2 linked regions of the Lepisosteus oculatus genome follow. The protein of the gene in region 2 interacts with the protein of the main gene of each other region in a pairwise test. Links are inferred from orthologs where the notes say so. Each region holds a gene or a part of one and is shown on either strand. Other genes may lie near its edges.

Evidence for each region.
Region 1: the proteins of ap1g1 (region 2) and ubiquitin-like protein 7 interact in binary tests that used the Homo sapiens proteins (3 or more experiments, as listed by UniProt). The two-hybrid records come from large-scale screens. The link is inferred for Lepisosteus oculatus from reciprocal best matches to the Homo sapiens genes AP1G1 and UBL7.

Annotation. Positions count from the first base shown.
Region 1 is NC_090700.1:51,652,728-51,659,990, forward strand, and holds the start of ubiquitin-like protein 7, read left to right. Parts: upstream 1-4,241; 5' UTR 4,242-4,289; intron 4,290-4,345; exon of another isoform or gene 4,346-4,427; intron 4,428-4,589; coding exon 4,590-4,779; intron 4,780-5,086; coding exon 5,087-5,206; intron 5,207-5,627; coding exon 5,628-5,710; intron 5,711-6,870; coding exon 6,871-6,955; intron 6,956-7,263.
Region 2 is NC_090715.1:9,930,962-9,938,619, forward strand, and holds the start of ap1g1 (AP-1 complex subunit gamma-1), read left to right. Parts: upstream 1-4,658; 5' UTR 4,659-4,758; intron 4,759-7,658. Other genes in the region: znf821 (zinc finger protein 821), read right to left, coding at 1,388-1,427. UniProt on the Homo sapiens protein: Subunit of clathrin-associated adaptor protein complex 1 that plays a role in protein sorting in the late-Golgi/trans-Golgi network (TGN) and/or endosomes.

The DNA of each region.
Region 1 (7,263 bases), on a different chromosome or scaffold from region 2:
AAGAGAATGAAGATTCCTTAAACAAATGCTTTGCTTTAAAAAAACATATGATCTTAATTAGAAATAAACTCATATTCTGATTTATATTAGCCAATCAAACCTACTCTACACAACTTTAGGAAGAACCGGAGTACAGTACATGGCAAACACCCACAGGATCACAGAAAGAATACCACATGGTGTCAAACTCCAGAATCAAACACATGCCCTTGAATTTATAAGGCAGGAGCACTAAATACCACCCCAATATGTAATGACATAATTTGGTTTGCTATACAAATTAATCCTTATCTATTATCCAATCACTTCATCCAATTTGGAATCATGGGGGAGAGACGGATCTTTTGGTGGCAAGCCCATATCTATTAATGATTGTTAATTTTTTTGACATAAGCACTGACTACATAATGAAAAACATTGCAGTGGAAGAACGAGCAAAGTCTTTGGCTGATAGGATAGGTGTCTTCTCTGGTCTCCTGTTGAAAGTGAATGAGTTCTGGAAGTTAAAAGGCTGTCTGCCCTGTACAGACAGTTCAGGAGTTGACTCACCCTCTGTGGTCATGTATCATTAAGCGCATTAACAGATCTATCTTAACTTTCCACTTGCTAAAACCTAAAATATGATGCAAGTGTTCAGTTTTAAAAGCGCATTTGTCATTTTAAACACAGAAACAATGCCAAAGAATTTCTGCTACCCTACCAATTTCCATATGTTGGGGAGATTGATGTTAGACGTGGACGACAACATATTGTTAAGGAGTGGTTTAGAGCCCATTCGTGCCTCTCCACTGTTCTTTGAAATGGTCCAGTATGCTGGATAGAGCAAAATGTTTGACCAAAGTGCAATGGTGAGCAACAGCTTTAAGTTCAGTAAAGAAAGTCCACTTTAATAATAATAATAATAATTGCTTACACTTATATAGCGCTTTTCTGGACACTCCACTCAAAGCGCTTTACAGGTAATGGTGACTCCCCTCCACCGCCACCGATGTGCAGCCCCACCTGGATGATGCAATGGCAGCCATAGTGCGCCAGAGCTCTCACCTCACATCAGCTATCAGTGGGGAGGAGAGCAGAGTAATGAAGCCAATTCATAGATGGGGATTATTAGGAGGCCATGATTGGTAAAGGCCAATGGGAAATTTGGCCAGGATGCCGGGGTTACATCCCTACTCTTTTCGAGAAATGCCCTGGGATTTTTAATGACCACAGAGAGTCAGGACCTCGGTTTTACGTCTCATCCGAAGGATGGCGCCTGTTTACAGTATAGTGTCCCCCTCACCATACTTTGGCATTAGGACCCACATGGACCAGAGGGTGAGCACCCCCTGCTGGCCCCACTAACACCTCTTACAGCAGCAACCTTAGTTTTTCCCAGGAGGTCTCCCATCCAGGTACTGACCAGGCTTACACCTGCATAGCTTCAGTGGGTTTCCAGTTGTGAGTTGCAGGGTGATATGGCTGCTGGCCTATGTAGAAGTGCATTTAGAAATTAGAACAGGAAGCACTGTACCCAGGCTGTGAGGGGTATTTAAAAATCTACCCCAGCCCTGGGCCTGAAGCTGAGACACTGGCATCTTTCCCGACACAGACAGATGAGATCCTTAGATCAAAAGCTACTACCAAAGCTCTAACCTTGGGGCAGATGCAAACTGGAGATGCCATTCTTCCGAAAGTAACATTTCTTATGTTCTTTTAACCAGCCACTAGTTTTAATTAGAAGACTTATTTGTCATTACCAAACTTGAATAAACAATACTCTTAGAAAGATGATAACCATTTTCTATTTTTTACATGCATACATTATACAGCAAATCATAGCTTCATAACCATTCACATAGAGCTTCATAACTCTTTAAATACAGTAGTTACTGTAACTGTTCCCCTTTAAACAGAAGCCTGTTGCATAATGCTCTACTTTTCCTCGTGTGCGGATTGAGAGGTATAAACCTATGGGACTAAAAGATGCATTTTTTCCAATAAAAAACACCTTTATTCCAACAATAACATGGTTATTGTAAAACATTTCAGCATGTAGCACTTTGTAAATGTTTTGCAAATACTGTGTACAATATCACACCAAGTAAATGTTTTTTGGGAATGTTTTCCTCTTTGGAAGCTGTAAGAATGTGATGCAAACCCATCCATTGTAAAAAGGCCACACCACTTAGGAGTTATCTCTGCTTCCTTTCCCATATTCAGCTCTGCAGTACGTAGGCTTTGACAACAGCCTATCCTACAATCACAAAGACTAGAACAGAGATCTGTGAGGACAAAAAAAGGCCTTTATTTTTACACGAAAATTATTTTTGACACGGTGTTAAAAGAAAACAATAAACTGCTTGTTCTTTTAAAATATCAAGAAACTTTTTTTTCTCCCAAATCTGTTATGTTTACCAAAACAAAAAAAAAATAAAGACTTCTCCTTGGCAGAGAAGCTTAAAATAAATAGATCGTAACTGTAAAACAAAGGTGATTATGGTAATCATATCCACAAATATATCACTGAGGTATGATTCATACCATTTTAAGTCCTGGAAAAAAAACACACACACACGATGAAAAATCCTTAAAGACACCGTGGCAGATTTCTCCGTGATCCGTACACATTTCCAGTGTCTAACATACCTCTTCCTAAACCAAAAGTTAATTGGGGAACCTTCTGTAAATATGGCATTAAGACATAGAGGAAATACAGTTGAGAACTCCAGAAACTCAGTATATAGTATACTGCTACGGTTGTCTAGATGCTCCTTCCGACTGCAAAATAAAAATCCGTAACAAATAATTACACAATAAAACAAAGCAGAATTTTAGAGTGTCCGAGTTAGGATTACAGTGCCAATTTCAAGAGGGATGCACGCAGCAGTATCTCCTCTAGCAGGGACCTCCTCCTCGTTTGAGACAGCGATACCATCCAACTCGTCTTTAGTTACAGTTACAGTTACACCTTCTAGCTCCGGCACAGCTTCCGCCGTAGCGGGCTTCGCTGTCCTGGATTCAACCCTGCACCGGCAAGCCCCTTTAACCGTCTCCAGCTCCTCCTTGACTGCTCTCACTTCCGCCTCCAGTCCCTCTTGGGTTGACTTCAGCTCCGCCTTAAGACTGCTGTTTTGAGCACGGAGGAAATCGTTTTCATCCTTCAGGTTCGCGATGGTCGTCTGCGCCACAAGGGAGCTGCTGGGGCTATCGAAGTTGCGTAACTGCATGATGGCTTCAACAGTGGCCTGCTCCCAGGAGCCTTGGGGGTATCGCCCGTCTATTTCAAGTTTCTTTGCAGACCCCGTGGGGGGGCCGCCGCCCGTGTCCTCCAGCAGTGCCTTGTAAACTCTTTTCCTAGCCGGTCTCTCATCCCCACCACTCTTGCTTTCCGTCAGGTCTTCGTTTTCGGAGGACCCCATGTTTAGCACTGGCACTGGATGCTCGGCGGTTGGCGAGCCCTTTACAAAGTGCATCGAGCAAACGACTGTCCCCTTGCCTGGCAGAAAGTCTTTTCTGCCGATTGCTCCCAACCATGCCTGCTGCTTCTCCTTATCACGGGGGAAATAATAAAAAGAGAAAGGCTCAAGACACGAGCACGCATTGTGTTGCAAAGGGGAATGGAGCTCACAAATGTCCCGCCGCCAGATGCTGAGTTTCCTCTGGTTATTAGTGCACCCTGACACAGCGCAACACCTTCCACCTCCTCTTCTATACAGAGCCATTTCTCCTTTTCTCCGCCCAAGAGACAGCAAAGGTCTCTGGGTAATGGAGTTCCCCCAAAAATTACACTAGAATACGAACTAATGAATTCGGACATTTTACGTTAATTTATCAATTTCTTAGTCAGGTCTGAGCGGTGTATTGGTAAAAATTAAGTTAAAGGAATTCCGCAGTTTTGGTATGTGGTTTTTATTTCAAAAACATTACCTAGCAGACATTTAAAATGACAAACTATGTAGTATATCGAATATTGTATCACTACGTTATTAATATTATATATTGAATAAAGTCTAACCAGTCTTTCAGGAAGACGTTATAAATTTATGGTAGAAATTGGTAAAACATTTAGCGTTTTTAATACCGTTTTTGTTTGGATGCAAGTGGAGTTCTTTTGATCCATATGCTTACATTTGATCAAAATGTGAAGTCGAAGGCACTGTTCAGTCAAAATCACTAGCACCTCTATTAGCAGCAGAGTTTTTCCTCTTAATTCTATAAATAACAGAGTGGCGTGTGCAGAGGGAAAAAACTACAAATCCCAGAAATCATCGAGAACTTTTTCCGTTTCCAGGTGACAGAGCATAAGTGTAAACATCGCTCTTTCTCTTTTTTTGTTATTTTTTAATTATGTGTTCATTTAACATTATACTTCTATTTTAAAAAAAACTTTTCTGAATTCATGAAATTCAGTTTTTAAGTCATAGCTAGTTACATAGTCAGATACGGTATAATAGTCTTTTTATGTTCAGTCGTAATCTCGAATGTTAAAAACAACCAGTGTTATTAATCGATAAATCTGATCCAGTTGAGTTTAAAACATGTAATATGCATAATTTTTCTTTATTACTCTACTCAATGTATGCTGTTTATATTTTTGCCTCCTTCAGATGACTATGGCAGTTCCAGAGTGGCGCATTTCACTGAAACTGATGGACCAGCCCTCGGTCCCCAAGTCGGTTCTGCAGTTTCCCGAAACGGAACCGGGAGATGTGGCACCGGGAGGATATCGTATCGCCACACTGAAGCAGCTGGTAGCAGCCCATTTGCCAGATTTAGTACCTGATCCGGAGTTTATAGGTCAGTAAAAACTGGCTTTCAAGAGATGTTCCTTTCACATTAATTCAGTGGTACATAACTCCGTTTGGTGGGGGCGGGATAACATTTTTCAAAAGCCATCAGCTATTGATGATATATAGTCATAGAAAACCCGCTGGATTCTGGTAGCCCAAGTTGACGTTGCACACTTTTTGATATAACCTTCTATCAATCAAGAGGCAGGGGATTATAAAGTACATTATTTTTACAGCGTGTTGGTGCAACGTTTGGAAATCAGCTAGAACACAGGATTGTCTCTCCAATTCAAACGTATGCGTTTATATTTCAGAACTGGTATTTTGTGGCAGAAAGTTGAAAGATGAGCAGACATTGGAATTTTATGGGATTCAGCCAGGATCAACTGTCCACATTTTAAAGAAATCGTGGCCAGAACCAGAAGTCAAGCCAGGTGTGTATGAGCCAGTCCACTCTCTCTACACAGAACCATTTAGTGCTAAGTACGTGGTGTCTGTTTCAGTAATTTAGTGTGGAGCGAAATTGCTGTACTTTCTTTGAAATTGCTTATGCACAGCATTGTTTGGCTTTTTAATCACTGTTCTGTCTTTTGAAAAAAGTATCAAATCTTGATTTATGTTCATGCTAATACAATATTGAAGTCCTGCTGGGGAACAAAATAAATTAAGCCAGTTTAGAGGGCACTGAAGTTTATGACAAAATTACAAGCAGAAATTAAATGACTTCTTTGAACTGAAGCCTTCTTTTTTTAAAATTCAGAAATGAATGGCTATGGAATTTACGAACCGTCTCACGGCTGGCTTTATATTGTGACATCACAGAGTTTTCCATTGTGCTGTACAATTCCTTTTCAGAGCCTGTGGACAGAACAGCTGCTGCCAGGGAGTTCCGTGTGCTTCAGGCAGCTCTACATACCAGTACTGCTTATAGAGACTCGGTGAGACTGCACTGAGAAACTTTGCCTCATACTAGAAGTTTCAACAAACAAGCAAAATGTTTCATAGTTTAAAAAGGAGGTGTTGTGTTTGGAAGACAAAAGATGCTTTACTTACGAAAAGTGAAAACAGCCCCCCAGCATTGCATTACTTGCATTGTGAAATGATGTTCTGCTCAGTGACTTTTATATCTGTCACTTCTGTTTGATTCTGAACAGAAGTAACAGATTCAGAGGGGGCAACAAATAATATTTCCTTAAGTTTCTCTCAGGTGTTGAAGCAAAGCACAAAGTCCCTCAGATAACTCCGAAGTATTTCGCAATGACCATACTTACACTCCTTATAGCCAGGGAATACCAGTGGTACATAGAATGTGTGATTTTGGCTGCTCAGGCATAGTTTGGCAACACAAATATTTATAAAGATAGTTAAACAAATATATAATATACATTTTTTGGCTATATACAGGTATGTTCACTACTGTGTGTCATCCAAGTTCTGCCTTCTATAGACAGTTTTCTACATGAGGTCAAAACACTTTAAAATGGGCAGAGAGAGAACCTGTATTCTAATAAATAAGGATTCTGGAAGGACTCATTTTGTTTAGATTGGAAGCTAAGGAAATGGGAATCTTATTTCCTTGTTCAGAATAACACATCACTAACAAATGAGGGATGTGCTTTAGGCTGTGGATTCACAATGAAGGATATCAATATTTTCAGTATTATTATTTAAGAGTATAGTACCCTTCAAGTGCTGAGATCAGCACTGTGAAGATTCTAGTTTCGTAATCTGTTTTAAGGAGGACAAATGTTCTAATGGCCTAATCACTTCTAGTCTTCCTTCCCCTCTCTTCTGGGATGTGTCTCCTCCCTGTTTATTTTATGTCATATTTATCCTTGAGGCTTAGTTTGTCTTAAGACTGGTCTGTGAAGGCTGGCTTAACGATTTCACCAATAACTATCTGCTCAGTGTTGGATATTGATGTTCTAAAATGGCTTTCTTAATATTTTAACAGAATTAGTTTACCTTATGTTAATGATTACTACCAATCATTCTTTTGATCATCTATGGACTTGATGCACTGCCTCACAAATAGCTATGTAAACATATGCCCATTGTGTCATCCTTTTGGAAGCTGATTGTTTTTCCCCTTATGCAGGTGTTTAAGATGTTAAACAACAGGGAGTCCTTGGACCAGATCATTGTAGCCACGCCAGGCCTGAGCAGTGATCCGGTGGCACTGGGCAAGTAGAAACATCCTTTGAGTATCCATGTCTTTGTATACGTGCTTGCTTGGAGTTGTTAGTTTTAAAGGTTGACTACTAATGGTCTGTGCTGGGTAATTGACTATTGGCCCTTCTAGAGCATTTTATATTTATTCTGTCCTCATCTTCATCATTTTTAAATTATTCACTACTTTTTAAGTATTTCAGAAAATGTCAATATGCAGAGTTGAACCCAATGTATAAAGAAAACCTCTATTTATATTTATATATCCTTTGGATAAACATCACCAGAAGCATCAATACTGAATTATTCAGAGGAATGTATG
Region 2 (7,658 bases):
TTTGGATATGCAGCACCTCTGTACTGCTGTGCAGTGGGACGGAAGGGACAAAAGCAGGCTTACTGTATCCTCAAACAAGCCAGGAATAATAATAATCGCTTACACTTATATAGTGCTTTTCTGGATACTCCACTCAAAGCGCTTTACAGGTAATGGGGACTCCCCTCCACCACCATCAATGTGCAGCCCCACCTGGATGATGTGACGGCAGCCATAGTCCGCCAGAACGCTCCCCACACATCAGCTAGTTCTTCACAACTTGAGAGCCAGCCGACATCTTAACAAAGCATCAGGCTTCAATGTAAACCGTTTTCAATGTAAAGCTACGTCCTTGCAAGCTTTACAATATCAATCGATATTGCATTTGGTCGGCCCAGTTTTTGCAAATCAACAAGTTTCAAACGCCAGCATCAACCAATTAAGTAAGACAGGCGAGTTGGGGGAGAGACCAGGATTCTGGAAAGAGAGAGCCTGTTGTGTGTGGACTGCTCTCCTTGGGATGACTAAACAAGCAGCATCTGAGAAAGAGAAACATGATTTCCATCATGTCGTGGTCCAATACTTTACTTTTCAATTAGGCTATGGAACACGTACAAACTCCTTCATATGGATCCGTCCAGAGGCACTGTTCCATCATCTCAACTTTGATCCCAGCTGTGATAAAGTGCTGGGAATGCCCTCCCTCCTCAGGTTGAGAAAAAGGAATATCAATGTTATGGGAATAACATTAGTCTAGTTACCAAATAACCAAGACCCCGGTTAACTGTACACCTTTTTTCTCTACTGCCACCGAGACTCAACTGAACAATAATAGTGTGTTTTCCGTCCACTACAAGTCATTACACCAACGAATGGAGAAGCGTCCCATCACAGGACACTCGCACCATAAGCAACCTCTCTTCATTGCTCCACGTTGAATCCCACGCAGCACTAAAACAAGTGGGCGACTCCCACTCACAGAGTCTCTAGTGTTGTATTGACAGAGCAATGAATTAATTATCTCAAGTGTTTTGTTGACAATTATGAATTAATGACGCTCGTCGGAGTTGCACAGGCAGCTACAATGAAAACAAGGGAGGCGACAAAACGATGTAAGGAGAGATCAGGGTTTCAATGCAGGTATAACACTGAAACATGACACAGTTCTGTATAGAAGCTAACATTTTATAAAATCCGTCGACTTACCGTTTTGAAAATACATCACATACAGAAGTTCAAAACAGGGAGGACACGACAGCCCCAGGAAAACAATCAACTAGCAACATTGCTGAGTTTCGTTCAAAGAACAACCATCACACCAACAGAACCCTATATTGAGGTCCTGCTGGGGCTGCTAACCTTGCTACGATTAAAATAGAGAGAGATTTGCAATACCTGTGATACCTACAATTAACTTTGAAGGGGTTGGTCTGTTTGCGCCTGGACATATTATCCCCTTCTCCCGGCTGAAAAAAACTCGAATCCCCACCTAGACCCGACAGATTTGAAGATTTCCTCGAACAAAAAAATATATATGTTTTCCTTAAAAAAAAAACGCTCCCCTTTTTAGGGAGCAAGACTTCAACGGAGTGAAAATGAAATTTAAAAAATAACCCCCAAGCGAAAACAAATATCTACCCGGGTAGCGATAAAGAATACATTGGTAGATAGTCGGGGGACAATTTTTTAAATGAAGAAAATCGTTTCAATAAAAAAGACGCGTTCTTTTTTCTGAAAAAAATGAGAATCACATATTCCTTTGATAAGACGCCGTATAATTTGTTTTCTACGGTTTGGCCATCTACACACTTAAAAAAAAACGTTTTGAATGAGGTAAAATCCAGCCCCTGGTTGGGATGTTCTTCGCCGATCAGCCCCGAATTGCCCCGAATCTGTGTCGCTGTCGCTCTGCCAGAGCACTGCAGAGACGCACCGCCGACACTCACTCCGTACCTAGACGTCACCCACGCGCAAGGAATTATGGGATGTGCCGTGGAGCTCTTGGAGGACAAATGGTGGTCGTTGGTTGTGCCGTGTAGAAGTAGCGGGTTAGGTCGTGTTTCCCCATCTGTTCCTTGCAACTTGGATTTGAGTTCATCTGGATCAGTGATCGTTTGTATACTGAAGCAGAATTATTCCTTAAGGGATACATACATATGTGGAACATGATCCTTTTTTCCCCAGAAATGTGTACGGGTAATATGTTGCGAAGGCGTTACTCATAGTCAAATACTTCTGACTGTAACGGGTTCGGTGAAATAGACATCGTGGTATACCTTTAGTAGAGGGGATCCCCTACGTCTACTGGCTTTCGTTCCCGACGATATATTTTACTTGGATACTGTATTGAACTAACAAGTTCCCTGGTTACTTTGCAAGTTGTTCAACTTAAAAGTGGGAGACTCCGGGTCACCAAATGAAACGTAATAGTTAAAACAGCCGAGGGCGAATATTCCCACCCAAAGAACCCTGTTTTTCAGAATGTGAACTCACACCAGTTTCTTAAAGCAAAAAAAAAAGTAATTTGTGTAGAAGCCTGGTTTATTCTTAATGTTCAAAACCGTCTTGTCTCGTTCGTAGCACCAACACTGTTCTTTAGACGAAAATGTTTCAGATGTAAATAAAAAAGTATTATGTTCCAATATACTGCTTGTTACCGCGACACAGATCCTTCCAGTTGTAACTGCTTTATTCAATACAGGGGCGCGGGGGCAGGATACACGCTGGATGGGATGGCAGTGGATTGGAGGAGAATATACAAGCTCCAGAGATAGCATCCCACACCCAGAACTGGAACCCAGAGCACAAAGCTGCCAGGCAGCAACGCGAACCACGGCGCCACCGTGCCACTCGCAACAGCGATCTGTTCGCCGCCAACTTCAATGTCCAGCCTTACTCTTCTTCGGCACATCTGCCACCACAAGGGGGAGTACAGAGTACAGATTCACATTTATCTGCATAGCGCTGTGATTTCCCTTCGGTTTGAGTTCTCTATGTCAACAGCAGCACTGTGATTAACATATACATAAATCTACAGCTACATTTTTTAAAATTGCAAGCAGTTGATAGAATATGCCTTGTTATTCATCCTTGCATTATCCAAGTGGATGCTGCACATTGGTGGTGGTGGAGGGGAGTCCCCATTACCTTTAAAGCGCTTTGAGTGGAGTATCCAGAAAAGCGCTATATAAGTGTAAGCAATTATTAGAATTATTATTATTGTTGTTGTTGTTAGCGATATTATAGTACCTGTTGATTTTCTGTCAATTACAAGAGAAATAGACTATTATCTTTCCTTTACGTAGAAACGATGCCCGTTAGTTGTCTTGAGGAGTAATACAGATTGAGTGGAGAATAGTAAGATTACGTATCGATCTTGCCTGATCAAGCAAAATGTGTGTACTGCTTAAATGGTTGGATTGCGGGGGGTCAGTTTTAAAACACACTGAAATTTAATAAAAATATAAAACATTGCTACAGTTTGCACTATTTAAGTTACGAAAGCATAATTCTTATTATACAAATGGAGCAAGATCATGTCTGTACGGTCCAGGAGAGCGCTTGCAATGTTAAGTGGAATACTGAAATTTAATATACGTTATTGTAATATACTTGCATTTTGCTGTTATATCTGCGAATATTATATAATACTGTGCGAACATCTGACTATGATGTTCCTTATATACAAAAATGAGAAAGGTGTTTTTCTTTTTTACATCAGCTAGCTACACACAGTGGGTACATTTCGAGACTCTCGCCGAGTAGGAATGCACCTCGACAGAACCGCAGCCAGCATTCCCAAGAATAGCTTGGGACGTACAATTTCCAAATCTGTGTGTAAATCCTGACATCACATTGGAATTCGGTCATTTCTGTAGAGGCAGTTCCTCCTTTGCCAAAGAGCCTCCCTTCACTAGTGACACGACATAGATCATGACGTCATCACTGACTGCCACGAGGTGAAGTCCGGACCGCAGCACTACTCCTACTCCTGTGCTGCAACCTTTACTTATAACTCCTCCGCTTTACCTACACATAAAGAAAATAGATATGTGGGCATGCTTTCGGCCTCGCTTTCTTATTAACCAAAGATTATGAATTGCAGTGTTGACCAAAATGTATCTCTGTCCTAAGATTTCAGTGGGATTTTTTGCATGGTGACATAGTTAAAAGCATATAACTTATAAAGGTTATTAAAACCTTTTTATTTCTTTTTGCGGATTGGTTAACGTGATAACTCAAGTATTACACAGTTTTATTTCCTGAGAATAGCCTTATTATGAATAGAAAACACTGGCTGAACTTTAGAAATTTACTGTCAAATTAATAGTATAACAGTCAACTTTCACGTTTCCCAAGCATAAGGAAAACACGAACCTAATTTCTGAAAATCTTGTAGCTAACTGACATAGCAGTATAATACATCTCACTTAGGGTATGATTGACATTTATCTGTATTTATCGGTATTGCACATTTATGAACGCTTGGTATTGCCTGCCTCAAGTCAGCTGAAGCCAGTCGAAGGAATATACCCTGCCCTCGGACGCCATGTTGGCTCTACGTCCTGTGAGTTTAAATGGGAGATATGTACTCTCCTTGAGAGCCCGAATGGCGTCTTGTTCGCGAACTTGAGGCTTATATGAGATATTATTCAATGTAACCATCCGCCTGCGGTAGGTGCTGAGGCCGGGAGAGCCGCCATTTTGAATGTCAGGTTTGTTCCTCCCTCCGTCGCAAAGACAGAAGATTCCAGTTTCTTTCTGGTGTCATTACGGCCGGTGAGTATCGCCTACCTGAACACGGGACACCTTAATATTAAATTAGACTTGGAAAATATATGTGCCGCAGCCTCGTCTGACACCGATTTCGTAATGTGGTAAATAACGTCTGATATTTTAGGGGGGTTGCACCGGGGGTTGTCGGTCACGGGAAGAGTGCTGACATTTTTTTCTTAGATTTGCGATGTTTCTGGGGTTAGGGTGTGTTTGTTAAATTCTGAAGGTAATATGCGATGTGCAATTAGTATTGTATGCGAAACGGGTCGTTTAAGGTGAAGTGGGAAGCACCGCCGTTGTTGAAAATCGATGCCGCGAAGAGGCCTATTTTAGCAGGCGAGCGGTGGAGAAAAGCAGGCTCCCTCCCTTATGATTAAGGCCAAGCCCGGACAGGCCTAGCAGGCTATCCGTGTAGTGACTGGACACAAGGAAATGAGGACTTGCGCTCTTACCACAAGAAATAAATGAAACATGTATATCTAATTTATTAGGGCCGCAGTGGAGTCGCACTGCATTCTAATTTGGATATGGCACACTTAGGGAAGTTGGCTCCAAATAGGAGATATTTCCTCAAATCTTCATGGTTAAGTTTCGCTGTGTGTAAAGTATCTGTGTGGCACCTGCAGCAAGCCCTGCTATTTTGGGTTTTCGAAGTCTATTGTACAGGTGAACAGATGGACTTAAGCGGTTGGTACTTATAGTACTGCCGACGCCGTCTATATCGAGCATTAAAGGCGTAAGTATATTCAAATTAAGACAGTAACCCTAACGTGTTTCTAAAAAATGTTGCATTCTAAAATGTACAGTTTAAGGTAGCTTGACAGTTTAACAGGTGTTACAGCTGTATAGTAAGACGATTCACTGGCAATTGGTAAATATATAGATGTGTTGCATCGGTCCTGTGCCATTCGGGACATTTTGATGGCAAGTAGCTACTTGATTTGAGGAACTCTAGCTGTTTCTTGAAGGAGGCAAAGGTGTTGGCTTTGACGATGTTACAGACTCCTGCAACCTTTTGTGTAAAGCAGTGCCTTCTCTTCTCAAGATTTAAGCGTTGGCTTTTCATGTGTCCTCTGATGATGTCCTCTATATCCGATGTTGTAAAGCAGATCTATTAATACGCTTTCAAGTATTTAACAGATCTATTCAAGTATTTTACAGCAGAAAAGACTCGAGTCTAATGTGTACAGCTTATACGTTTGTGGAGTTTCAGGGGTTATTTAATGTAAGTATGTATTGGGTCTACTAATGTACTGTTCTAAAATAATATCTCACTAATGTACTCTACTAAAATTTCCATTATAGGGCAACTGAGATGCTGTAGGTTGGTGAGCAGATTTTATTTCTGCTTGGATATGATCAATTAACAGGAGAGAAAAGCCCAAGAGAGTCATAGCAAAAACTCTGTCATGGTCGTATAAATGCTGAGTGTGGTTCTTTTGATTGCAATTGAATATGTTCAATTGTGATTTTGTCAATACCAGAAGAAGTAAAGGTTTGGTCTTTTGTGTTGGTGCTTTCCTGGGATGTTGAGAATGTGAAAATTCCATCCTAAAGTCATTTCATTTTGTGTTTTGATCTTACAGCAACATGACTCCTGTAAGAATAGTTTGTGCTAAACTTTATCAGTACAGGCAAGCAATTCTAGGGGTAGGATTAAATGAAACAAGGAAGCGGTTTGTCAAATTTCATTGGGTGCCACACATGCCCTTAGAAATACCGAGCAATAGGGCATCTTGCTATTCAATGGAAAGTCATTTTCTATATTTTAATTACCGTTATTCTGAGGAATTGCATTTTGTTTTTTTTTGTAGAATATAGGAGCTCACAGAATTAACTTATTTAAGGCAGGGAACAAATTAATCATTTTACTTCAGCAGCACTCGAGTTCTTATTTTCCTTTTAATGGTTAACTGATAGCTATGAATTTAGGTAGACGTGTTAGTCATTGATCGGCTAATCACAGGCCTGTGTACGCTTTTAGGAAAGAGTTCTGTGTATATTGGACCTTACAGTGTTGGACTTTACATTGAGACAAGGGGAGACTTTAAAACAGTTGATGTTTTAATTGAATGTAAAATTAAATAACTAAATAAATCTGAATAACTGATGTTTGGGGGCTGCTAGTAAAGATTTGTTTTTATTACATTTTGTTAAAACTTATCTATTTAAAGGGCCTTGTACACTGGATGACCAGGGAGTGGGTTCTGTGGTTAATGCACACCAGTAGTAAAGCAAATCATGAGAAGAACACTGATTATAAAAAGAAGAACTGACAGACTGTAGTGACATGACCAAAAGACTCTTCAACAGAAATTGCAAAAAAAGAGTAGATGTACATCATACTTTGAGAAGAAGACAACATGTTTGGAAAACACCACCAGACTGTTTAAATGCTTACGTTCACCTTAAGACGCATGACAGATGTTTCTGAAAACTTGTATCACTAAACAACTAATTACAGAAAAACTGTTGAACTAGGTGAAAGATTAAATACTTAAGATAATATTTTTGTAGTTTGAGAAAGTATCTTGTGATTATTTCATAGTGAGATGCAGTGTATTCACTTAGTTCTTTTATACTACTCGCTTTGCAGTGTTAAGCAGGTTTACTTTCTGTCTTATTTGCATGGCCTGAATTCCAGCCCTTCAGTAATTTCCCTTATGTTTACTGTTGTAGTAAAAATAAGGAAATTTGCTGAGGGGCTGGATTTTTAATGTCTTTCTGGAATAGGCTGTTTGTAATCTACTGCAGCTGCGTTTTTCAGCCCAGATTCAGTAGGTTTCGGCTAAATTGGAAGAAATCCTCAGCAGAATGATAAAGCTGAATGATAGTGTGGATTAGCAGGCTAACCTAAGTCTAAGCACTGTATATTCCCTTCAATACAAAGTATTCACAGACTC